Drosophila melanogaster: one gene and its partners. The protein of the gene in region 3 interacts with the protein of the main gene of each other region in a pairwise test. Each region holds a gene or a part of one and is shown on either strand. Other genes may lie near its edges.

Evidence for each region.
Region 1: the proteins of BuGZ (region 3) and scrt interact in a two-hybrid assay, tested with the Drosophila melanogaster proteins (one large-scale study listed by BioGRID).
Region 2: the proteins of BuGZ (region 3) and tgy interact in a two-hybrid assay, tested with the Drosophila melanogaster proteins (one large-scale study listed by BioGRID).
Region 4: the proteins of BuGZ (region 3) and fd96Ca interact in a two-hybrid assay, tested with the Drosophila melanogaster proteins (one large-scale study listed by BioGRID).

Annotation. Positions count from the first base shown.
Region 1 is NT_037436.4:3,981,594-3,988,033, reverse strand, and holds the start of scrt (scratch), read right to left. Parts: upstream 4,139-6,440; 5' UTR 2,971-4,138; coding exon 2,544-2,970; intron 1,511-2,543; coding exon 1-1,510.
Region 2 is NC_004354.4:19,123,633-19,129,702, forward strand, and holds tgy (twiggy), read right to left. Parts: upstream 3,685-6,070; 5' UTR 3,673-3,684; coding exon 3,128-3,672; intron 2,832-3,127; coding exon 2,723-2,831; intron 2,656-2,722; coding exon 2,374-2,655; intron 2,013-2,373; coding exon 1,827-2,012; 3' UTR 1,371-1,826; downstream 1-1,370. Other genes in the region: CG15882 (uncharacterized protein), read right to left, coding at 168-644.
Region 3 is NT_033779.5:16,740,815-16,747,316, reverse strand, and holds the start of BuGZ (Bub3 interacting GLEBS and zinc finger domain protein), read right to left. Parts: upstream 3,913-6,502; 5' UTR 3,788-3,912; coding exon 3,753-3,787; coding exon of another isoform or gene 3,747-3,752; intron 3,558-3,746; coding exon 3,250-3,557; intron 3,194-3,249; coding exon 2,932-3,193; intron 2,628-2,931; coding exon 2,210-2,627; coding exon of another isoform or gene 2,165-2,209; exon of another isoform or gene 1,752-2,164; intron 1,091-1,751; coding exon 701-1,090; coding exon of another isoform or gene 689-700; exon of another isoform or gene 1-688. Other genes in the region: LSm7 (uncharacterized protein), read left to right, coding at 4,257-4,271, 4,331-4,648; ChLD3 (chitin and LDLR binding deacetylase 3), read right to left, coding at 5,092-5,370, 5,429-5,951, 6,013-6,502.
Region 4 is NT_033777.3:25,080,521-25,086,477, forward strand, and holds fd96Ca (forkhead domain 96Ca), read left to right. Parts: upstream 1-2,163; 5' UTR 2,164-3,031; coding exon 3,032-4,150; 3' UTR 4,151-4,358; downstream 4,359-5,957. UniProt on the Drosophila melanogaster protein: Involved in development during embryogenesis.

The DNA of each region.
Region 1 (6,440 bases), on a different chromosome or scaffold from region 3:
CTGCCCTCGAGTTTGACGCGCTCAAGGAACTCGTGTGGCGGCGACGAGGCCATACTGGCCCCACTCTCGCTATTGCTGTCGTGCATCGACAGCGACATGGACATCATCAGCTCCTCCTCGTCCTTCAGGCAAGCCGATTCCAAATGCTTGTTGAGGTATGACTTCAGGGCGAAGGTCTTGTGGCACCGCTTGCACTCGAAGTTCTTGTCCACCGAATGGGTCTGCATGTGTGCTCGTAGATTGGAACGATCGGCGAAGGCCTTGCCGCAGTGCGCACATCCATAGGGCTTCTCGCCCGTGTGCGATCTCAGGTGACCCTGGAGCAGCCAGGGCCTCGAGAACAGCTTGCCACAGACGCCGCAACTGTGGGATAGCTTGTGCGTGAGCAAGTGCATCGCCAGGGCGGGCATGGAAACGTAGGCCTTGCCACAGGTGTGGCACTTCTTGGCGGACTGCGAGTCCAGCGAGCGATGGGTTTGTTTGTGGCGCGACAGGTTCGAGGAGGTGGCATACTGCTTGCCACACTCGGAGCACGTGTACTTGGTCTTCTGCTGGTCAGGAGTGGGCACTCCGCTGGCGGCAGCTGCAGGATCCGCCACATGTTTGCGCTTCGAACGGCCATCGCTGACGAAGAAGGCCTCGTAGGTGTAGGCCACCGTTTTGGCCGACGCTCCGGAGGCGCCACTGTGCTCGCCATCCTGAAGACATCCATCCCCATCCGGGTTCGTGTTGGTGGTGTTGCTGTTCTCGTTCTGCACCTGGCTGCTGCTGCTGCTCGAGTTGCTGCTGGGACTGCTGGGCATGTGATTGCTGCTGGCACTCGAGGCATTGCTGGCGGGGCGTTGCTCATTTACCACACTGGCCGCTGCAGCCAGTTCGGCAATCGATGACGTGCTGCGCAGATGCGCATGCGCCTCGAGAGTTGGCAAGTGGGTGTGGTGTGCCTGCTGCTGCTGTTGCTGCTGCAGTGGCAAGTAGTGATGTTGCTGCGGGGCAAGGTGTTGCTGCTGGGAGTGGTGATGCTGATGCTGCTGCTGCTGCTGCTGTTGCTGCTGCTGCAACTGGTGAGGTTGCGTGGGCGGGTGGAAGGCTGTGCTCGCACTCAGATCCAGGATAGCATGTGCCGCATGCAGGTCCTCCTCCGCCGGTACCCTTCTTCGATAGCCGTGCGCCGGCTTGTCGTCCAAGGAATACGGCCTGTAGATGTCCTTCTTCTTCGGCGGCAGCGACAGTGTGGCTCCCGTACTGCTGAAGCACTTCCTTTCACTGGAGGTCTGTCCACTCGAGAGCGGACTGTACCGATCGCCGGCGCCGCTGGGCGAACAAGAGGGTGATGACGTGGTGGACGAGGGCGGCGTTTGGTAGGCGGCCAGGTGCTGATCTCCACTTCCGTTTCCGGATGTCCTGGCTGCCACCAGAGCTGTAGCCGCGGCACGGATCACGGTTATCTCGCTCTCCATGCGGGGCAGGTACGCGGTGTAGTGCAGCGGCGAAAGTTCGCGGGTGTAGCCTGTAAAAAGCAGAAAAAATTAAATCATGGGTTAAGTTTTATTCAGCAGCATTTATCATGGTTCCTGAAGTATGCTACACTTTTTTCTTTTGAAATAAGAGTTTCAGTCATTGTAATGTTTTTGTGCCGGAAAATATACTTAATGTAGTCGGATGTAGAGTATATGATTCGCTTAAACTTCCTAGACATGCACTTATAATTTCTTTGTGATTATAATTTTTCCGTTTCCTTTTCTTTATAAGCTGCCAAAACATTTACCCTCTGCCATTCTTAAGATATTTTCTTTAACAAACTTTAAACAATAGCTTTCATTTAAATATGAAGGACTGACACATGCGTATAATTTCTTTTAACCAAGGGCAAACTTTAAAAGGTCAACATAAATATCAAAGACCACGCCTGGAGTTGTGCTAAGATAACTATTTTGTATGTGCTGGAAAATATTATGTTTGCTCAAAGGATTTTCTCCGCAAAATAAGAACTTTGGCGAAGTAGAAAAGTACACAGAAGAGCAACAGCTCACAGCTAAAAAATGGGTTAGTGCAATTACTTTAAATCTGTTTCGTAGTAAGTTATTTTTAGCTTTTAAAGCCTAAACCTATAGAAAGGATGTCTATTGTGAGTGGTTTTTAGGTCTGCCTTGCTTCTAATTTCCACTGAATAATTAATTTCGCAATTGTACGTGGAAAACAGTGACAGGCACACATTCAACAAAAAGGACGAAGGCAAACGGTTTAATTTTGGCCTGTACCATTGTTTTCACGCCAAAGGGAATGGAAACCGAGCTGGAAGTTGGCAGTAGGAAGTCGGCGAGGGTCTGTGCGTTCTGCGTTTTGTGGCCCGCTGGCCGGAATTGCAAACAATATTGAGTGACAACAAAGGCAATTAAATTGATTCGGAATTGTTTCGCAATCGCACAATGGCCACATCAATGACAGCGATTACGTGCGCCCCATCTCGATTTCCACCACCCCCGCCTCACTGGCTGGAGCAGTGTTTTCCGATTTCCCGACTTTCCCGAGGGCTAACTTACCGTTGTAAACATTGCCGGCCACTCGCGTCGCCGCCTCCGGCGAATGGGGAGGCGGACTTGGAGCCGTGGTGCCCGCCGTGGGTGAACTGGGTCCCCAGCACTTGGACGTCGTCGTCGTCGCCGATGCCTCCATGTTGCTGCTGTTGCTGCTGTGCGATGTTGCTGCTTCGGATGATGTTGCTGCTGCTGCGGCAGCATCTGCTGTTGTGCGTTGCTTCTCCAATTTGATCAGGAATTTGTCGCCCACCACATCGATCTCCTCGTCGTCGTCCAGGGTGGAGCGTCTGGACTTGAGATGCAGCTCCTCCAGTTCGCGAGGCGAGTTGGGGGCACTCTGCTCCTGCTGCTGTTGCTGGTTGCTAGTATCCTCCGTCCGATCCAGCCAGGGATAGGCCTTCCACTTCTTGGCTATCAGGCAGCGCGGCATTTTCTGTGTTTTTTTTTTTCTTTGTAGATTAGAGGTTTTGGAGTTGGAGTTGGAGTTTTGGCTAGGAGCTTGATCAGGATCCAGTTAGTAGATCTTAGAGGGCTAAGTGCTGAAGCTAGTGTCGAGTTTCGAGCGAGCAAAGACCGTCTCAGGGGGTATTATTTGTGGCAAAAGCGGAAAGGAAACGTTGCTGTTGTTATCTCGCATGGGAAAATATATATATTAATATATATATATATATATATATATATTGTATATAGAGTTTGGCTCGCCGAAAGATCTCTTAAAGTTTTAGTCGTACAGCTTGTTGAATTTCAGGCCTGGCATTTCTGCCGTGTCTCGTGTGTCTGTCTGTGTGTGTGGAGTGGAGTGGTGTGGTCTGGTGCGTTTCGGTTAAATATTCTTAGTAATTTGCATTTTATTGTAAATTGGTTTGGTTTTTAGTTAGGATTCCTCGGGTTTCACAGCCACTTCACACATTTCGGCGCTTGATTCGTTGTCAGACCCGTATCCGTCATTTGGGCTGGAGTTTCGAGTCGCTCTCTCTGCTCTGTTCTGCTCTGCTTTACTTTGCTTTGCTTTGCTTTTCTTGTATTTTTTTTTTTCTTTTTGGGCCGGAGTTTTTGCGTTTTTGGCCAGGGCCACCGATTTTTGGTCAGTTCCCCCCGTTCAATCCCCTCGCTCCACGAAACACACACGGACACGTTCGCGTTCAGTTGGCTGGCTGCGTGTGGCTTATCGATTTTTACATTTACATTTGCGTTTACGTTCACGTTTGTTTTCAACACGGAATTGAACTCAAAACATAACGGGGGGACGATTTTTGAACGAATCTTTGGGGTATCCTTTCAACTCTTTTTGGGCTGGCAATTTTCTCCTCGGGTTTTTGGAAAACAAAACTTTGTCAATGGCCGTCGAGACGAAAATAAATGTTTTGGTTTGCAGTTTCAGTTTAAAAACGGAAAGTTGACAGATTGGTAGTGGTAGAGTTGTAGTTTGTTGTTTTTGAGAAAGTTAAGGTTGACGCGAGTTGAGAATAGTTGAGTTGTTATTATTGTTGTTGTTGTTGGTAGTGAAAAAATTGATTTAGGAGAAAATATAATATTATATAAGATAGAGAAGAAATGCGAACGAACCGAACGTAAGCAACTCTTGAATGCTTATGAGAGTCTTGCGGCCCGAGAGCCCGCTTATAAGGGTGGTCCACCCCCAGCATAACGACAGCCAGCCGAACCGCGTCGCCTTGCAGCCGAAACGAGCCGAAGGGAAGAGCGAGAGCACTGGAGCGCCAGAGAGCGGAACGCTGAGAGCGGCACAGCCCCTAAGTTCCAACCCCCAGAAAGGAAGCGCATAGCTGTTGCTATTGCTGTTGCTCGTCCTGTGGGCTGGTACACACGATGGAATATGCTCAAGAAACCTAAATCACTGAAATAACATAAGGTAATAGCGGCCAAAAGAATAAAACATAACTTAGTGCTGGCCTTCATGCCTAAAATACCAGTGAAACCCTTAAAAACAAAGAGTTTTCTAACATATCTTCTAAGAAATCGCATCGTGTGCCAGCGCCCTAGAGCAAAGGCAACAATCAGGAAGTGTTTCATTGCCAAAACATTCCCCGCTGTTGCTTTCTCCCGATTTCAAAATTGTTGCGCCTCTCTCTTTCCATTTCCCCACCTTCTCCCACTCGGTCTCTTTCTTTCGACGTGGAGGCACCGGACCCCCAGCCATACCTGAGAATTGGCTCATGGCTCTTTGGCCCTTTTGGAACTTTTTCGGCTTGGGGCTCGCGGCTCTTGCCTCTTGGCTCTTGGCCGCCTGAGGCTCCCATTCACGATACACGGGGTGGATTTTGCGCCCAGAATGTGGCAGTTGTGCCGAGTTAATTGCTGTTGCATTGCATTTGTTGCTGGCTCTGATTTTGAACAAATTGCCAGCGACGGGATGGCCAAAGGGGGGTGTACGCTACTTTCCCGTAAACATATATACTATGCTGGTTGGGGTAACGGGTTGAGGGGATGCAACAGTCGCTGGTCCTTGGCCCTAACTCAGTTAGTACAAGATAAACAGCACAAACTAACTTCTGTCGCCCTCGTCTCTCTGCACTGACGGCTCTCCACTGGCCATGAATAAGTGGTTTACTTTTCAGATCACAGAGGTCGGATATGAGTGCGGCAACTCAAATCGTTGGATGATTAATTGCAGCTCCTGCCGAGTTGGGTTTGATTGACAGCTGGATGTGTCATATGCCACACTCCCAGTATGAAATGAACACGATTTTGGGATGGATTTCCAGGGTTTTTTGATGCCCGCAAAGGGGTCCAGCTATGTGAAGTCTATAGCAATATTTATATTTGTAAAAACATTTGTTTGGCTATTAATTGAACCTATTAGAACTAGAATCATTATCTAGAGATAACTCGTAACATACTACTTTAAAATGTAGTACTAACCTTACTTCGATTAAAGTAAAAACCTTAGAGAATCCTTGAAATGCTTTCAAACAATGCGTTCAAGATGACCCACCATAAAATCCCTAGAACATCTTGAGAAGCGACTTACTTACATATACAATCTGTTCGCATTCCCAGTCAGTGCAACACACACAAAACTAATTAATTAAAGTGGAGCTTCGGTTAGCTGAACGGGGAGCTCGGGCTTTGCATAATCAGACACTTAAATTACAAAGTTCTTAACCTTTTAATTAGCCAGCGACAACAGACAATTTGTCTGCCTCAGACGAGCTTAGCGTCGCTTCTGCAGCGGCTGCAGTCCTTAAAAATTATATATACTTTTCATTGGAATTTTCATTCGGTTTACTATGGTATCCCCCGGGGTCCTTCGTTGAACCCACTTCCTGTGCCCCACTCGAAACAGATGCAACCTTTTTTCTATGGTTTCCCTGTTTAAACTATTTCGAATTTTTTGAGGAAAACCAAGAAGTGCCCACCGCTCCAAATATCTGTCCATCCATCTCGCGGAGTGACAGGCCATAAGGACCTCTTCGGGCATTCCTTGAAAATGAACGGCGGTATGTAAATATTAATGCCAAAGTAACGTATAGACCATCTGTGGAATTCGACTGCACTAATTATAAAAAAAAATTGGGCTCGCCCTACGCCCGGCACCTAAGTAGAAGCCCTAAGTATGCCCCTTTCCACCCCACCCAGGTTGCACTGAGAGAAAATGTTGCGAGTCCTAGCTATGGTATTAAATAAACTATGACTATACTATAAATGTTTTATCCGATAATTATTATACTTCACATATTCGACATCTTGAGTTAAATGTTATGGCTATCAAAGCATCTTAAAATATGCATCTTAGAGCTTATTTTTCCCAGTGCCCATCCTTTCTTAGGGTGTTGACGAAACCACTCGTCTGGCACACGGCTCCTAGCGCATGGTAATCTGCTTTTCCAGCCAACAGACTTGAAGGCGATTCCGGCCAAGATGCGCTTTATGCGGCCCACG
Region 2 (6,070 bases), on a different chromosome or scaffold from region 3:
AGCCGAATATATTTCAAATACGTTCAAAACTAGCTGAATATTCATCAGTAATATATTGTAGTATGCGTGCGATGAACCTTGTTCTATAGAACTTTAAACTAAACTAGAGCCGGCGAGTGTTTGGATTTTTTAATTATTGTATTAAGTTAACATATGTAGAAGTTTTCTTATTCGGGGTGGTTGATAATATATTCGTAGACCAGGTGTGCACGATGCAGCGCCAGGCCCGTGATCACTCTCCTCACATCTTTGAGCTTCAACTTGGGTGCCCTACGGGAGCGGATCATGGTGGACACGACCACTGGTAGCCTGTTCCGGAGAGGGAGTGGTGATTGCATCATCATGAACGTTTTATGCACCACATTTTGCATCTGTAGGTTGATGACCTTCACGATCCGTGCCGCATAGTCCATACTCTGCTTTTGGGTTAGCGCTTCGGGATTATTGGGCGCTTTGGTCGCTTTGGGTACAACTGCCGCAGGCGGTGGATCTTCCTTCGAAACAGATTGACCCTCGAGGTTCTTTTCCTCGCCGGCAATGTCGACATCATTCGGGGTAGCCAATTCAGAGAGTGTGTCCTCACTGAGCAGCTCCTTCAAAGATAGTTTCTCCATATTCGCGAGTTCTTTGTTCATGTTCTCCATCCTTCTGGGTTTCGGCAGCAATCAATTTAGGGTTTTCCTCAGTATTCAATATTCCCAGAAGATTGAAAAGTTGGTTTTTTAATTTATTTCGCAATAGCTCACTTGAATCGTGTAGAAAGTAAAGGATAAAGTGAGAATCATTCAACGAATAGCTGATTAACTGGATCTAAAAGTCTGGGCATACTTAAATACCAATTAGTGTGCCCGCATGTGTAAAAAAAAATTCGAATAGGAACAGAGCTTTTGCAAAGAACACTTGACTGTACTCAATACAATGCTAAAATAATTTAAAAAAAACTATACACATTCTGTTATAAATAATATGCTCTATGATCATTTTTATTTCCAGTATTAAAAGTTAAGTAATTCGATTTTTCGAATCGAGTGTTTTATATAATAATCCACATATTTAATGTCAGCAGTAGTAAAATCACTCTTTTGATCATTTGCCTTAAAGTAACAAATATGTACTTGCTTTTCGATTTCTAGTACTAGTGTTGCACAATGACGTTAAAAGGTGTTACCAGGGTTTGAAACAAGTTGCGGTAAGTTAAGCCACTCAACGCCACGTGGCCATTATTATTTCATTTACTCATTGTAGATTGTTGAAAACTGTACAAGAAGTATAACCATTTCATACGCCTTAGGCTTCTAAAGAAAACTGTTTATTTTCCTTGCGTACATATGTTGTAAAGCCAATCATTTATAGAGTTTAAGATTATTATGGCATAACAAAGTTCAAGCTGGCAACTCTAATTTGTACCATTCAACAGATCAGAGATTGCAGTCATTTCGTACGTACACTTACAATGTTAATAGTGCAGCCATACCATTATAGTTGCGACTAATTCATTTTTCTAGATATGCAACTTTTTGAAATCCTCATTGGAAATCAAGAGTAAATGTCCACCCAGTAGCCCTCCATTATCCTTTTAATGCCTTCGTGTGGCCCGTCTGCCACGAGCTGCTCAATAATAAATACATGAATAGATAAACTAGGACGTGGATCGGGCAAGGACAAGGAGTCGCAACAGGACAGCATCTGGCAGCCTTGGCACGTTCGCCTTGTGCCCATAATATATTAAATACACGATAAGCACACACAAAAAAAAAAGGATGGAAAATATGTAGATATGGACTTGAGATTGCTGCTGCTGAAGTGGCAGAATGGCTGGCTCCTGCCTAGGACACCGGATTGTCGCTCTCGGGGATGACCAGCTCCTCCTCCCGGATCTTCTTGGGCAGCCGTTCCGCCACCTGCGCCCTTCCGGAGAGCTGGAACTGGTAGTTGAAGTAGTCGTACACGTACAGCTGCTTGCTGTGCACATAGTGAAAGGCCACCGGGTACTCCGACAGGCAGTCCATGCACTGCAAGAATACGAAGATAGTTTAGATAATAATCAAAAGAGGACAAGGAATGCGAATACGAAGGTGGAAAAACTATACGTTGAGGCTTGAATATCAAAGATAAAATGCCTCCTCACGCGGTTATAAGCCAGTGACGAACGCACCTTACCACCACCTTTCTGGTAACGAAGAATGATGATTACGTTCGACTAAATAATATGAGTGCTTGGCAAAATATGGCGTTGTCTTTGTGACACTTGAGTTTATTTTCTATTTTGCTGGATTGTTAAAAGGTACTGGATGGGTAAGCTGTGCATTCATTCATATATCTACATACATACAAACGTACTTTTAGTAGGGTGCTAAATGCATCCAAACTCACCGATCTCGGATTGTAGTAGGCGTACTTGTACAACCAAAAGTCCATGCCAACGTTGCCCGAGAGAAGGGCTCCATAAGGAGCTATGGGATAGAAGCGGTTGCGCAGCTGCTCGTCCCTGGAATCACCCGCCTTCACGCCCAGGTTGAACAGGCACTTGCCCATCTCGACGTCCTCGGCGTGATCGTCCTCCTGGCGACACTTGGTGGTGTCGTTGACGCCCTCGGCGAAGATCCTAAGAGCCTCGCGGCTCAGTACGTAGCCACTGCCGCCGGACATGTATGACTATTGAATCGGATTCATATTCAGTGAGTTTGTAATGTAATCCGAACCGGACAGAAGATAAACTCACCTCGTTCTTCTGGTGAGTGCCGACCATCTTGTAATTAAATCCAAAATAAATAGGTGTCTCCGGTGAATACGGGTAGAGCATGTAGCGCAGATTTTCCAAAAAGAGGTAGCTATTGATAGGAGCAGATTGAAAGTTCAGTCAAACTTTAATAATGCTATCTTTTCTTTATCGGTTCCTAATTATTCTTCATTCAACTGTTTTGGCTGTGGCCCTAACATTGAGATACCATCAGTAGTTACACCACAAAGGTAAAACAGAATGATAATAATGTTCAATAAATACATACATACATATATACATATGTACGTGTATCTGTGGTGACGAAAACAACCATCCATTCACTTATCAATTCCTGCAATAAAATGCCACTCTTTCCCTATTTAAGAATCTGAATCTTTCACATACGTGTCGTCGTCCGCCTTTATGAACCAATCCGCCTCGTGGCGCATCTGCTCGTGGATGTGGACAAAGGCCTCTTTGGTCTTGCCCCACAGCATCTCGTATCGGTCCGGCTTGGTCAGCACAACGGTGGGCAGCTCGTCATCCGGCTCAGAGGTCATGAAGTAGATCTTATTGCAGCGTTTGCCCCACGTTCGCAAAACGTGAATGGCCCGGGTCTTGTGGTATTTGGGTGTGGTGAGCACCCAGCACAGGACTCTCACCTCCCGATGCATCTTCTCGGCCAGGGTTTCGTTGCGCAGTCCAGGCTCCATGTAATCAACAGAGCTAGTGCCTCTGGACAGTGGCAGTGCGCCGGCGTTGAGCACCATTACATCCCAGTAGGCAAACAGCCCGATCACCGTGGTGCTCACCAGCAGAATGAGCAGGACCAGGCGATCGGTGGAGATGCGCTGGGCGGAGCGGTACATGCCATTCGCCAATCCGTTGGAACTGGAATGGAAGCCCGGATAAGTCGACGAGTTCTCCAGTATGATATATTCCCCGGCCATTGAAACACTGACTTGCGGCATCGTAAGCACTGTCTATACCAATCGAAAATGGTCTTATCGCCGGGAAAATGCGGCCCAGATTAGACAAGGTGGCTGGCAGAACTAATACTTATGTCGGGAACATCGACGAGCAGGTGCGCTCAATTAGTCTTATTACTAGGTTGAAAGAGAGAGAGAGAGAGAGAGGGAGGGAGAGGGAGTAACATGCACAGAACAGAGTTAAAATGAGTGAGTGAAAGTTGCACCAGAGCTGCGGAAATAGCAATACACTAATTGATATGGTTTCTAGGTGAATGGAAATCCTTATTTAAAAAAAAAAAACATATACTCGTACATGTGGCAAACAGTAGACAAAAATAAATAAACAATTAATGTAATTAATTGCGCGTATTTCCTGATCCACAATCATAAATATTATATTGATATATTATTGAGTAACAGTTAAGCTGCTTAGAGAGGTACCAAAAGCCACTATCTATTTAAAAACTCTAAAAACTTTAGTGGTCCAAACTAATTGCTTGCCAGCTTGGATTGTACTAAGAAATTTGTTTAAATTTCACTCAGCATAGTTCATTAATCAAAACACTTGGGACAAGCACACAGAGCAACAAGCACCTCGAAAGGAAAAATATAGAAATAATAAAAAAGTGAGTTCTAAAAGGGGGGGGGTTGGGTGAACGCAAAACCCGAAAACAGTTGAAGTTGAGAGAATCTTTCAATTAATCATGAGCGACATGTGGTCGTTGCTGGACGCTTTTCAGTGGCGTTGCCAAGATGGGGGGGGACTAAGGCGTGGGCGTGGCACACTGGCAAGGACCGCCAGCAGTGCGGGAAAAATAATATAGCGCATACGCCCTGTGGGGCACTCCAGCACTCCGACGCTCCGGCACTCGGATGCTCGCGTGCAAACAAATGGCTGCCATAATAGCGACGAGGCGGCATCCTGGTCGCATCCTGGTCGCATCCTGGACGCATCCTACACCCCGCGCCCCGTAACCATCCAATCCGCCTGCGCTGGCAAACAAATTCCCATTAATAAAATAAAATGCAGCCAGCGGCGGTGAGGAGTAGCGGCTAAGAATGAAAACTATTTGGCATTGTGGGCGTGTGACCCCGCTGCGATTTGCCACCAGCAAGCAGAAACCAGCTACCATTTCTACCATTGCCCATTGCCCAAACAAATACAAATTTTTCCAATAAAAGCGGCGGCTTTGCTCGCGCATTTTTTTCTCTTCGAATGTCAAAATTAGTTTTGGCCTGGGCAAACAGTTCAACATGAAATGCAAATAGGAGTGGGTGCCAAGTGGGCCTGATAAATGCCTTTGACCTTTCCGATGACGTGACCCACATGGGCTGTGGGTCCGCCCGACCATGGGCGTTGGCCAGCGGAGGAGACTCCATTACTTTCCCGGTACAATTTACTTTAAATGTATGTATGTAAGAACCACTTAACGCGTTCTTCCATTGTTTAATGTCGGTTCAACTATTTTGCCCTGCAACTTCGGTGGCAATTCAATTTAAAGGACAAAAGAAGCTGGATCCTGTCTCCTCTCTCCTGACCTATCCCATTTCCTAACTCTCCCCCCCCCCCCCTTTCAATCCCATCTTTTCGGCCGACACTGGCCCCACAATCAACAGTTCCTTTCCATCTGGTTCCCGCAGCCTCAATACAATAAAAACTCAGCCAAACAGGCAGTCCTGCGATGGTCGGTCGGTTGGTTGGTCAACTGCAAACTGGGCAAATCACAAAAATAAACCAAAGTCAAATGTATAACTGCAGATTTTTTGTAATAATGTTAGCTTTCGGATTTTACAAGCGCGCCAAGGCAAACGCCATTTGTCTCGCTGCCTGAATGTACTTCTCCCCGTCTCATTCGCTCCTTTCCATCTCTTTCTTTCGTTCTGTATGTAAATATGAGTGTGTGTGTGTGCATTGTTTGCCATGGAGATGACCGCGTGAAAAGATTCATCTTGAATAAATTGAAGTATTCAAACACAACTGAACTGAGCACATTTTTGAAAAAAGTCAAACTTAAGAAAAATGCATGAAAAATGATTGATAAGATAGGATATTTTGTGAAATCAATCTAAGATTCTATATAATCAAGATCGCTCATTCTCTCTCTCACTCCCACCACCACCACTACCAACCAATGCATGTGTCTGCGCCACACACATGCACACGTAAGCACACCGACGAACACACACACACACACACACACACACACGCAGTGAGACATCAAACGTGCAAACATTTGCCATATTTTTGTAATCAAAGTAAACAATCCACTTAACCCAACACGGACATGCAAAACGACCGGCAGCTGGCTGTCCTCCAGCCATCCCGCTCTGAACCTCAACTCATCTCACTTCCGCCACAGTGAAACGTCTTTCGCTA
Region 3 (6,502 bases):
TATTTTTCCAGTTTACAAGCTTAATAGGGTTTTTAGATTTATACATATGGCGTAAAGACGTAGTTGAGACTGTTGATCTTCCTTGTTTCTAAGCTGGGCAAAAGTAATGGGTTCGAAAAGAAAAGGGAACTTTAAGCGGTAGTGTTGGTAAGCGGTTGTAGTTAGCCAAGTGATTGTTTTTACACTGATGAAAACGTTAATTTGTTTTAAAGAAGTGCAAATTTCTTTTTCCTATCAGCTCCTAAATATTTTAATTTTTTAACAAACTAAATCCTTTATAAAATTAAAAAAAAAAAGTTATATTTTTTTACAAATACACACATTTTTTTAATGTATCCGTTGACGGTTTTAACATAAATTTTCAGATTAGTCTTATGAGTGTGCGTTTCGGTTAACCATAGATTATCTCGCTATAGGATCATTGTAAATTTAGAACCCCCAACTAATCGCGTAAACATTAGCTAATAGGTGACCAACCATGATGATGAGGGCGAAGCTTTATTTATTGGGTTAACCCACTCGAAAATGCTGTCGTTGGCTTTATGATACCATTCTAGGACACAAGATCGGTATTTGTATTGTGGTCTTTTACAGATTGAGATTCTCAGCAATTTCGGAATTTCGGTATTGTTAAGGCAAGTTCATTCTTTGGTTTGATTGCTCGCGTGGCATACGCAGCACCGCATGATTAGAGACTTACCATGCCGACGGCTGCGGCCGCCGCAGCCGCTGCTGCCGCACCGGGATTCCCAGGCTGTCGGGCAGCCTGAAAGCGCTGGAGCATCACAGCCCGATTCAGTTCCTCCAGTTGTTTGACCTGCTGCTGCGCCGCCTGCTGCTGCTGCACCGCCGCCTGTTGTTGTTGTTGCTGCTGCTGCACCGCCGCCTGCTGTTGCACAGCGGCTTGCTGTTGCTGCTGAGCCGCCTGTTGCTGCTGTACTGCCTGCTGCTGTGCTGCCACAGCGTGTGCCACATGCGCGGCTTGCACCTGAGCTTGGACCACGGCCTGGGCTTGCGCTTGGGCCTGCACCTGGGCAGCATGTGCGTGTGCGTGTGCCTGCGCCTGTGCCACGGCAACTAGAGCGGCGTTCTGTAAGAAAATGTTTGGAATCGATTGAATTTATCTCACTTGCCACTGGGAGGGTGTAGTTTCGGGGTCAACCCAAAAAAAATGTATCCTGACTGAGTCAGGTCTCTATGTACCTATCGTGGTAACAAAAAAATTTGCTTAAGGGTTTCAAAAAAACGGGGCTGAACCCCAAATGAAAAAATAGAATTGCAGATTGTAAGCTGCTGAAGTAACAAAAATTGACGAACAAAAATTACTAGATCATATCAAGAATTAAAGTAATCATCTAATTTAAGATTCCCTATTTAAAAATGAGTTTTTAGCCTGCGCTTGATGTAAAAAACGCTTCCTAAGCGTGTATGGAACCGACTACATAGATTTCTAAAACATACTAAGCAAGCTGGCTTCAAACCTGCCCCTATGATCCAATTAAATCAGCCCACCCGCTATAAAGAATTTCACTATTTATCAGTGGGCATGTGAATTGCATTTCAGCTGCTTCCGCTTTACCTTTAAGATACAAAACTAGCACATGTGTTGGCATATCACATTGATGGAGATTACTTTTAGGGCCAAGACAATGCGAAACCTTGCTTTTCCCTTCTATCGAGTTCTCTATGTGTTGAGGTAAAATGTTTTAAATCAAATTAATTAAATTGAAAACCGCCGTTTCATTTGTTTTGTTGCCATTAATTTTTTTTAATTAAAAATTGTACAGACATATATCATACTATATGCTAAAAAAAGTTTTCTTTTCTTTTTAATGTTGTTTCGTATTGTGTGATTCTCGTAATCTGTTTGCTCTCGTACGCTGTGGTCGTCTAAACGTAACTTCCGCTGTCGCAATTTGCGATCTGCGCAGAGTAAATGTATAAAAGTGTCCAGTTTGGAAAAATGGAATTCTGTTAGAATGCTGAATGCATTCTCTTAAAATGCAGTCGAAATTGGGTCAGGTTTTTTTATGTGCAATTACATTTATTCTTTCATTATTTTTCTTTTTTTGGAGGAAATTGTCTTTTTTACACGTCCTCGTTTCAGTCCGTTGTGCTTGTCATTTCCTGTTAATCAGTGGAAGTCGTTTCCGTCACGGTCTGTTTATTTATATTGACTATGGTTTCTATAACTATGATAAGAACTCACTTCCTGGGCCTTCGACATGGCTGCGGAGACGACAATCGAGTTAGCCATGCCACTGCTGCTATTGCTACCCGTGGGCGAGATCCCGGCCAGCGACGGGGGCGGCGGAGTGGTGGGAATCGACGTAGAGGGGCCACCATTGTTGCTGGGACTCTTGCGACTTTGTGGATTCGCCAGTGAAGCCAAAGCGGCCGCCAACCGTGCTTGTATTTTCGGTTGGCGCGCGCGCAATTCTTCCAGACTCAGGTCCTCCTGTGGATGCATAATCTTTGTGGTCACAGCAGCAGCGGAAGTTCCGCTTGCCGCCGGTGGAGCTGGAGGTCGCTGCTGGTGTTGCTGAGCATCTGGCGGACCACTTGGTGGTGCGCTGGATGCGCCACCAGCATGATTGGTGGTAGGCGGAGCACTTATGGTAGCATTACTTTAGCAAAAAGAAGAAATAATTGATTTACGTTAGTTAAAAACAAATTCTTAGGATTAAGCCTAATAATAAGTCATTTGACTTGCTTCACAACTATGTTTAATAGGGGAAAACCATTAAAAATGTGCCAATGTGAACAATTATTTGGAGTAGAAAGTATTTCACCTAAAATACCCCCAAAACTGAATTTACATACGAATCGTTTAAAAAAAAAAGATTATTAACAGGGCTCTACGTCTAACTGCTAGCTTTAGAAAAAAAAATTGGAAGGATTCTTATATGGTCTTCCCCTAACGATGCTAACCTGTACGCTGGAAATGTTGGCTTTTGTTGAGCCATGGCGGCGGCGTGGTGATGATGGGCCGCCGCCGCAGCAGCTGCCGCCGATGTTGTGGCCATGGCGGCTGGAAACAAAGGACGCGGAGGCATCATGTGCGGCATCATGGGCACTGGATACGGAGGCAGTGGCGGCATGTGCTGCATCATGCCCATGCCGTACTGCCCCAGCATGTGCGGTGGCATCATGTTCGGGGGCATCATCATAGGCGGCGGTACACTCATGGCATCTGCAATGAATGTTGTATAGCGATTTTGTATACAATACAGTTTGCTGATCACTTACATTCTACTTTCTTTTTGGCCACCGGTTCATCATCGTCCGAATCAGACTTGCCACCATTCTTCTGACGTTCGTGATCCCTGAGATCCTCGGCGGGAATGCCGTCCATGCCAAAGATTTCGACTTCAATATTTGAGCGATTGGGCAGCGAGTTGGGGACCTTGTCCACCGTTTCCTTGTGCACCTGCATGCAGTGTATGGATAGTCCGGGTCCGGTGTACAACTTCTTGTGGCAGATGTGGCATTTGAAGTGCTTGGCCTTCTGGTGCTGCACAAGGATCTTTTCGTCATCGAACTCACGGTTGCAGTACCTAGTTTTTTGCGTTAAGAGTTAAGGAAAATTCACGGGGATGCGGCGTTGTAGCCAGTATGCATATACATGTGTGTGTGTATCTACCCCCAACCCAATACCATTATATAAATGTGTGTGTATGTGCAGATACAGCGAGCGGCACATGCAGTGAAAAAATATTTATATCTTTGTTTTGCGAAAAGGATACCAGCACCAGGGTTTGGAGGCCTTCTTCTTCTTGCGTCCCATGATCCTAAGGTGGCTTTAAAACACTTAAATGTACAAAATCGATCCGGTAATTGGTAGAAGATAACAATCTGTTGTACTAAAAATTGCTCTGTCGTGGAAAACAAAATGGAGAGCCAGTCAGAGTGACCAGCATATCGATACAAATAAATGAATCTTATCGATATCTTAAACCAATATAATAATTATTATACAAATAAATTGATATGTTCGCCTCAATAGCAAAAGGTAAGAAAATAATTTCACAATGATGACAGTAGAAATAAGAGAACTTTGTTGTCATATTTTTCAAATAACATTAATTCTTACATATGTTTATTCCATTATTATCGATTATGTACCTCAAAAAGCGCGGCCCATAAGATTACTTCACCAGCGCCATCTGCTGGCTAGTAGCGCCTTATTTGGTGTATTTCTAAAAAAATATGCTTTGGTCACTCTTTACCAGCCGGCATTTACCAAAAACAGAATAATGGCAGATAAAAAGGTAAATTAAATAGAATAACTACATTGTGGTGCTTAATCATCAAAATCGTGACTTGTCAGGTGGGTGGCAACAATGACGGTAAGGAGAAGCGCCGCAAGGAGTCCATTCTGGACCTCTCCAAGTACTTGGAGAAACAGATCCGCGTGAAATTCGCGGGCGGCCGCGAGGCATCCGGAATCCTCAAGGGCTACGATGCGCTGCTCAATCTGGTGCTGGACAACACGGTGGAGTATCTGCGCGACTCGGATGAGCCCTACAAACTGACCGAGGAGCAGACCCGCAGCCTGGGACTGGTCGTCTGTCGCGGCACAGCCCTCGTCCTCATTTGTCCGCAAGACGGAGTCGAGAGCATCGCCAATCCGTTTATAACGCAATAGTCCAAGGTTTTGTGGCTGGGATGCGTTCCAGAATGTAGACTAAGTACAAAGCTCTTTTGGAAATCGGTTTAAATATATTTAGCGGAGACATACATACGTATAAATTAGTTCTTAAAATCTAATCAGGCCGCAAAGTACCACGTTTATGAGCCCGCGAAATTGTTTAAGCTTCTCCATAAAATTCAGAGTGTTCCGATTTTAAATTAATGCACTTTATCCTCTTCAGGTATGTTACGAAGTTATCTACGGGTTTGCTTACGGTCAGATTTTGAAAGCTGAATCATCTAAATATGCGTAATCCAATTTATAAATATTAATTTTTCTAAACAATTAAAACCTAAAATTGTATCAATCTTATCCAATTACTTATGGAACGCTCCAAACATTATGGATATATCAAAGCGCCTTGCGCAGAGCCCTATAGTGTCAAGCGGGCTATCACCTTAGTCCAAGCCGAACTCGTTGCGAATCCAGGGATACTGGGCAGGACACTCCATGCAAGTGTAGAAGAATCGATCCTCTTGCAGCACCCGACTACGCACCTTGCACACATTCGGCGTGTTGCAGACCTGCTCGTGGGGATCCAAGTCCTTCGGTTGGCAGTGCCAGGACTCGAATTGGTGCAGCTGGTTGCTGGGCGTGGGATGGCGCATCCACTGAATCGCCTGCTGGTTAGTCACGAAGAACACATCCGGCAGCTTTTGCAGATCGTCGAGGAATTTCTAAATGATCAGGAAGGAATGAAGATCTAGTATTATGGGTAACAATTCGAATATTCACCAGAAATGCATTCAGATAGTCGACTTTCTTGAACCAAGTCGAATGGAAATACAGGCCAAATGGTGCCCTATTGCTGAGGTAGTGCCTCTTGAAGTTGTGCGTGAGCATTCTGTACACATCCTCGCCGCTCAAATGCGGCGGACACGTGTCCACCATGCCGCACATATACTCGCCCACTTCCAGTTGGTTCATAACCAGCTCCCAAATGCCCGGATAACTCCTAGACGGGCAATTCTGATTTACGCCCGTGCAGCTGTGCGGCATCTTGTAGTCCAAGGTGTAGGGCCACAGAGGAGGATTCGAATGCGGCGCAACCATGGATGAATCGTACACGAAGCCAAACTCCTTCATCATGAGAAACTGTCGATTCCAGCCGACGCGCAGAAAGGGTACTCTCATGCCACGAATCTCCTCCATTCGTACCGCTGCGAACTTATTGATTATATTCGCCTGGCCAACCATCTCATCGAACCAATCCTCAATTGTGGCATTCTTGGACCACCACATCTCTGGGCCACGATGCCTTTAATCAATAAAAGTGAAATTTCAATTTTAAATAATTTACAGGCTGATCAACAACTTACGTTACTGAGTGCACTGCGATCTCGTGACCATCGTTCCAAAGCTTCTGCACATACTGATAGTTGGTAAACGGATGTGAAACGTAGAATGTGCCCTTAATGGGACACCCGTTGGGGTTTCGCCTGTGCTGTGTGAACAAAACCTTGGAGAACAGCTCCCAGTTATCGTGATTGATGGCATCGTCGAAGGTCAACAGTATCATCTGCGGAACACTCTGTGCCGGAAGACTGCCGGGTATCTGGGTGCCATCCTTCGAGCAGAAGCACTGCGGCAAATGGCACTTTCGCGGATCACAGGCACCAGCCGCATTCGGATCGTGCTCCACATCGCACCAGCCTTCGTCGGAGCCGTCGGGACAGTCTACCGAACCATCGCAGAAGTACTCCTGCGGCAGGCAGGTACCATCGGCGCAGCCCAACTGGTATTCATCCGCACAGTCGGCCATCTCCAGTAGTGGTTTTGGAGCCGGCGTCTCCGCGCTGACATCGCAAT
Region 4 (5,957 bases), on a different chromosome or scaffold from region 3:
ATTACAGTGCGCACCAGGCCACGCCCACCCCCGACCACTGTACTCCAGCGATGGCCAATCGCGTCCTAGGTTTCCCATTTGTATAGACAAGCGGCTGAGCGAGATGGAGCGATAGCGTCGGCGTAGTGCCATCCCGCTTTGCCGCCACATGGCTCTCACCCCATTCTCCACTCGGAGTTCCATGCCACATACCACATACTACATCCCATACCCATGTCCATGTCCAAGTCCAAGGCGATTCTCTCTCTGCGGGCCATATCGCTGTTAACCTTCGCTCGCCGAGCACCTAATTATCGCTATGAACGGCACAATTATGGCCCAATGCGATTGTTGTTTATAAACAGATAAATAAATTCATAATTAACTAGGGCGTGCGTTGTTGGAAATATATTTTTTTCACATTTTATTATCCATTTTTAAAGATATTAATTGGCATGGGTGTGCTATTCTGGGTTTTTTGAAATTATTACAAATATATGGAACACTTTCTATCTAACAATAAATGAAGATAGTTATAATAATAGTATTATGTGTACTTTATGCTAATTTCTGAGCCCATCTTCGCTATTCCTCAGAACTGGCAACAAAAAGCAGGCCAATAGTTCATGTGATTAAAATTCAATTATACCACTGAGCAGCTATTTGCCACTGCTTAACTACTCATTTGCCTTCGTGTTAGTCAGATATCATTAATTTACACTTGGTGAAGAACAGGAAGAATGCAGACTCATTAATAGCTAATGCGATTTAATACACCCATCCGCGGGATTGCGATTTGCTGCTCTATCGGGCGCACTATTAAAGACAATTATCCATCCTAGTGTTAAATCGAGTCTCGCCAAATCGCGCTGCTGCCCCATCAGCCCCATGAGCTCCATAATCCACTGATGGCCCATACCCATGCCCATACCCATACCCATACTGATGCCCACACCGAAACACAGAAAACACTAAATACAAAACACAAAATACCAAATACAAAATACAGGCCCAAACCCACACGTTCGCTGAATGCGGTGGCAATGTGCTTTGGCTTTTACGTTCTGTGGAATCATGGCCGAGTCGCAAGCAGGCAAATTAACTAACAAGATTATGAAAACGTAAAATCAGTAAATCGGTAAAGTGGTTGTAATTTTCTTTTTCAACACCTCTCTCGCATTGGGCCGTTAGCCAGTCGCGGCCTGGCCAGAGTCCCAGTCCCATACCCATACCCACTTCCAGTCCCAGTCCCAGCCATGGCCAGAACCAGCTGCCGGGGCGGCTGCTCTTTTGTCCGGAGCAGCAGCAGCAGCAGCAGGAGCAGCACCAGCGCTGAGGCAGCGGCAGCGGTAATACCAAAGGCAAAGCTAAATAAAACCGACGAGATACTCCCCTCGTACACGGCGAGAAATCGTGTGCGCTTTCATTGAAGTGCATGCAAGAAAGCTTTTGAAAATTTATTCCTATGTTAATAACTTCAATTACAAACAGCGGCTAGTTGCATGCAGAAAAAGCTTACTTTTTACAACATCTTATTTATGGTACTGGTAGTAATAAACTTAAGCAATAAAACAGTCAAAAGTTTAACTAGCACAATAATAGATTTGTATTTGATTTATTATTATAATGGATTTCTGATTTGGGAAAGCCTAACCACCAATCTTTTAGATGAACCTTGCACGTGAAGTCCGAATTATATGATCCCCATATAAGGAAGGTATAAATAATAAATAAATAATTCGAAAAAAGAAAATCCTTTAAAAAGTTCTGACCTTTATCAGTATAGCAATCAATATGTTATAGGCCTCATAGCATAAGTATTTAGATAGCAGGACTCATACCTTTATTAAGAATATATGATGCAGCACTCGTAGATCTAAGGGATTGTCGAACTCATTCGCTCGTTTAAACTTCGAATAGGGGTATGGGTTTTTCGGCCAGTGTACCGCCTAGCCGCAACCACCGGCGGGTCAGGGATAGGGGTGGTGCAGGGGCAGGAGCTCTCCGCTGGAGCGGCGCAGTGCGGTCTGGTCAGACTGGTTTATTCGTTTAGTAAATCTCAGACTCTTTGCTTTGGCTCTCCTCGCCGCTTTGAAGTTTCGCCGTGGCGGAGGGATGATGCATGTTCGCATCGCGGTGATTGGGAGAGAGCACGGGGGCAATGATGTGAGTGATTATATTTTGATTGCATTGCTCACTGTGGTTGGTTGTACGTACGGACCGCGGAGGACTGCAGACCTGGACGACTGCAAAACTGGAGGACTGCAGAACTGCAGAACTGCAGAGCTGGAGAACTGGGGACGGCATTGCTCACTTAGTACAATAACCGGCACGTCGTCTGCCAGTCTGCTGAAACAGTAATTTTTTGTGTGCCGTGTTCTTCGTTTGTTGTCGTTTGTTTTGTTCCCGCTCTATCGCTATCTTCGCCCCAAGTTCGCCCCAAGTCCGCTCCAGCTTTATAGCCCACCACCACCATCACCACCGCCGCTCACGTATTCGCATTCAGCTTTTGATGGTAATTTGCCAGGCAGGCGGAGGGCGGCAGTTGGAGGGCGGCAGGGCGCACAGTCGGATGGGGAAACCTCAGTGAGAGTGCTTTTCCTTCCAGAGTGCCAGTGCCAGTGCCAGTGGCAGAGCAGAGCTGAGCTGCTCCAGTGGTAGTGGTGGTGGCGAAGCCAGTGTCGTCGCCGGAGCTTATAACGAGCGTAGTTCTTGCGCAGAGTTTATTGCCGACAGTTGGCGCGATCTTGTTTGCCGTCGCTTCTTGTCGCTATCTCGTCCATATCACACATCGCCATGCCGCATCGCCACCGTGCCCCAAATGGATGTTCCTCGCTAGCAAATCCACTAGCTGCTCCCGCTTATGTTCCTGCGACGGCACGCGGCATTGCTCCTCATTGCGCCGCATGCGTTTAGGATATTCATACGTTTGACGGACGAAAATAATACGAGTGATTAGCAAGTGCTTGAGTGCATTCATAAATCAAGTTAGCCTGCAAATATGTAACACTGTGATGTGCGGAACAAATTGAGCCGAAAACATTGTGTAATAATGCCCCGGCCCTCGCGAGAATCCTACGGCGAACAGAAGCCCCCCTATTCGTACATTTCGCTAACGGCCATGGCCATCTGGAGTTCGCCGGAGAAAATGTTGCCGCTCAGCGATATCTACAAGTTTATCACGGACCGATTTCCGTACTACCGCAAGAACACCCAGCGCTGGCAAAATTCGCTGAGGCACAATCTCAGCTTCAACGATTGCTTCATCAAGGTGCCCCGACGGCCGGATAGACCCGGCAAGGGAGCCTACTGGGCACTGCATCCGCAGGCCTTTGATATGTTCGAAAACGGCAGCCTGCTCCGGCGGAGGAAGCGCTTCAAGCTGCACAAGAACGACAAGGATCTGCTCAACGAGGAGCTGACTGCCCTGGCGAACCTCAATAGATTCTTCTTTACCACCCGTAACGGAGGCAGTGCAGCGCACATGTCGCCGCTGGATATGAACAATGCGGCCGCCATGAGACTGGATCCACTGCCCAGGAGCACGGCGCACATGCCAAACTCCCTGGGTCCAGGTGTGCCACTGCCGCACGTAATGCCCGCCTCCATGTCCGGTGCGGATCACACGAATCTGGCGGACATGGGACTGACCAATCTGCCCGCGCTAACCAGTTCCGAGATCGAGGGACCGCTGAGCCTGCGACCCAAGCGATCCTTCACGATAGAGAGCCTGATCACGCCCGACAAGCCGGAACATCCGTCGGAGGACGAGGACGACGAGGATGACCGCGTCGATATCGATGTGGTCGAGTGCAGCGGTATCAGCCGCTATCCCACAACGCCCGCCGCCTCCGAGGAGTATATGTCCGCCAGCCGATCGAGCCGAACGGAGGATCCCCTGCCGCCGATGCACACGATCAACGCCGGTGCCCACGTGCCGTTTCTGCACTATGCCACGGGTGCCAATGTGGCCGGACTGCCAGCGTCGGGAATACCCAATAGCCCCACCACCTACGAGCTGGCCATCTCGCATCCGCTCTTCATGATGGCGGCGCCCATTGCCAACATGCACAACATATACTACAATAATGTTACCCTCGTCGCTCCGGCGCAGCAATATCGGAGCCCCGAGGTGCAGAATAGAATAGACAACGATATGCGTACGATATAGATAAGTGGCAACAAGCAGGGTAGTAACGAAACACACCTATGTACTATATAGCATTATTTATGAACGATATATGTATATGTATATTTATGTATGTATATCCATCCAAACGTAGTTCCTTTTGTATTAAGATTAATTGTAATAGGACCAAAACATATGGTATACATTCATAGGCGTAGAAAGGCTTGTAAATACAATTTTATTAGCTTGTATCACATATCCGTATTAGTAAATTATTTATTTTATTTTTATCGAACCTAGTGCATAGATCGATCCTTTTGTGAAGAATATAAACATTTAAACAACTTAAAGAAGTGTTTAGAAAAATCGAGCGGAAACAGTGAAATGTAGTGAACGTAAGTAAAGTTTAGTTATCTAGCTTTTTTTTCAACTTTAAGATCTTCACCCAGCTTTATAAATGAAATCCAGTCTATATACATTTTTAGCCCCAAAAAGTATTTCAGTTATGGCTTCGAGTTTGTTTGACTTATTCAATTATAATCACATTAAAACGATTTTATATTTTATAAAAGCGGTTCTTAATTGAATTCTAGAATATCACAATTTTTTTTATTAAATTTCGAAAATCGTGTCTTTTCAAACAGGCTTAAGCTTCTTTGGTTAAATCTGTAGTTTTTCACAAAAGCCATTGAGATTATAAATATTTTGGAAATATTCCAAATCTTTAGAAAGTTTTTAGCAATGTCCTTATTCAAAAAACGGGGTTCTTCTTGTTACAAAAGTAAGTGTTATATATTTTTCTGTCTTTTAAAAAGGAAGTAACATCATTTAAGATTTGGTTATATTTTAATCGAAACATAAAACGAAATTTTTCTGAGAAATGCTTTTTATCCCGCTTGTCCCTTAACTTTTACTAACTTTAAAACTTTTATAACTTTTTATTAACTTTTTTTTTAATAATGTGTTTGGAACGATCTAATTTAGCAAGTGATCCGTGATATCAAGATTTCCTTTTTAGCCTCTAAGAACCAGCAGATCCCCTAATTCTCAAAAAAATATCATTACTATTGCCTTTTTCGCCTTGTGATAATTTTGTGGAACGCGTCGGTCCTTCCTTTCTTGTTGAAATAAACACATGTCTGCATTTAACAAGCAGGACGCGTGAAATTTAAAACACTTTCAGGTTATTAACATGAAGGCAGCAATAATAATGAGGAGCGCAGGGAACGAGGCTAATGAATACAACAGCTGAGTTATTTGGCCATAAATACACACATGCACATAATCGCTTCGAGCCGTTTAGCGTTTCTTAGCCTCCTTATTAGCCATCCTTCTAGTCCTTCTCTTTCGCTCGCCACTCATATTCTTAGCAAAAACAAACCAGCAATTAATGATTTAAAGAAGTGAATAGCGAACAATTTTTTACTATTTAAAAAATGTATTAACTATTCTTCAACATGTGATTTTCCAATATGGATCTTATGAAAGAACTGAAAATGGTATAGTAAAATATATTAGGGATTGGAGCACAAATTCCATTCATACGAAACATTTTATTAATAATCGAGTAATCCAGGTTTTGAGTTTCTTCTTAGATTACGATCCTGTAACTTGAGAACTACGGAAATTTGATTATGTCGCTGCCAATTTGCTCAATTTAAATGCGGTTTCTTATGGTGCCTTTTTGCATTTTGTACAAATTAACACATTTACAAGAAACTTGTTTTACTTGCGTGACACAAGTTTAAGGCTTAGCGAATAATAAGTACATATTTACATGAATTAGTTAAGCGAGACCCTAAGTAATCAAACAATTTTCGATGCTCGATTACCATGCGTGCACCAAATC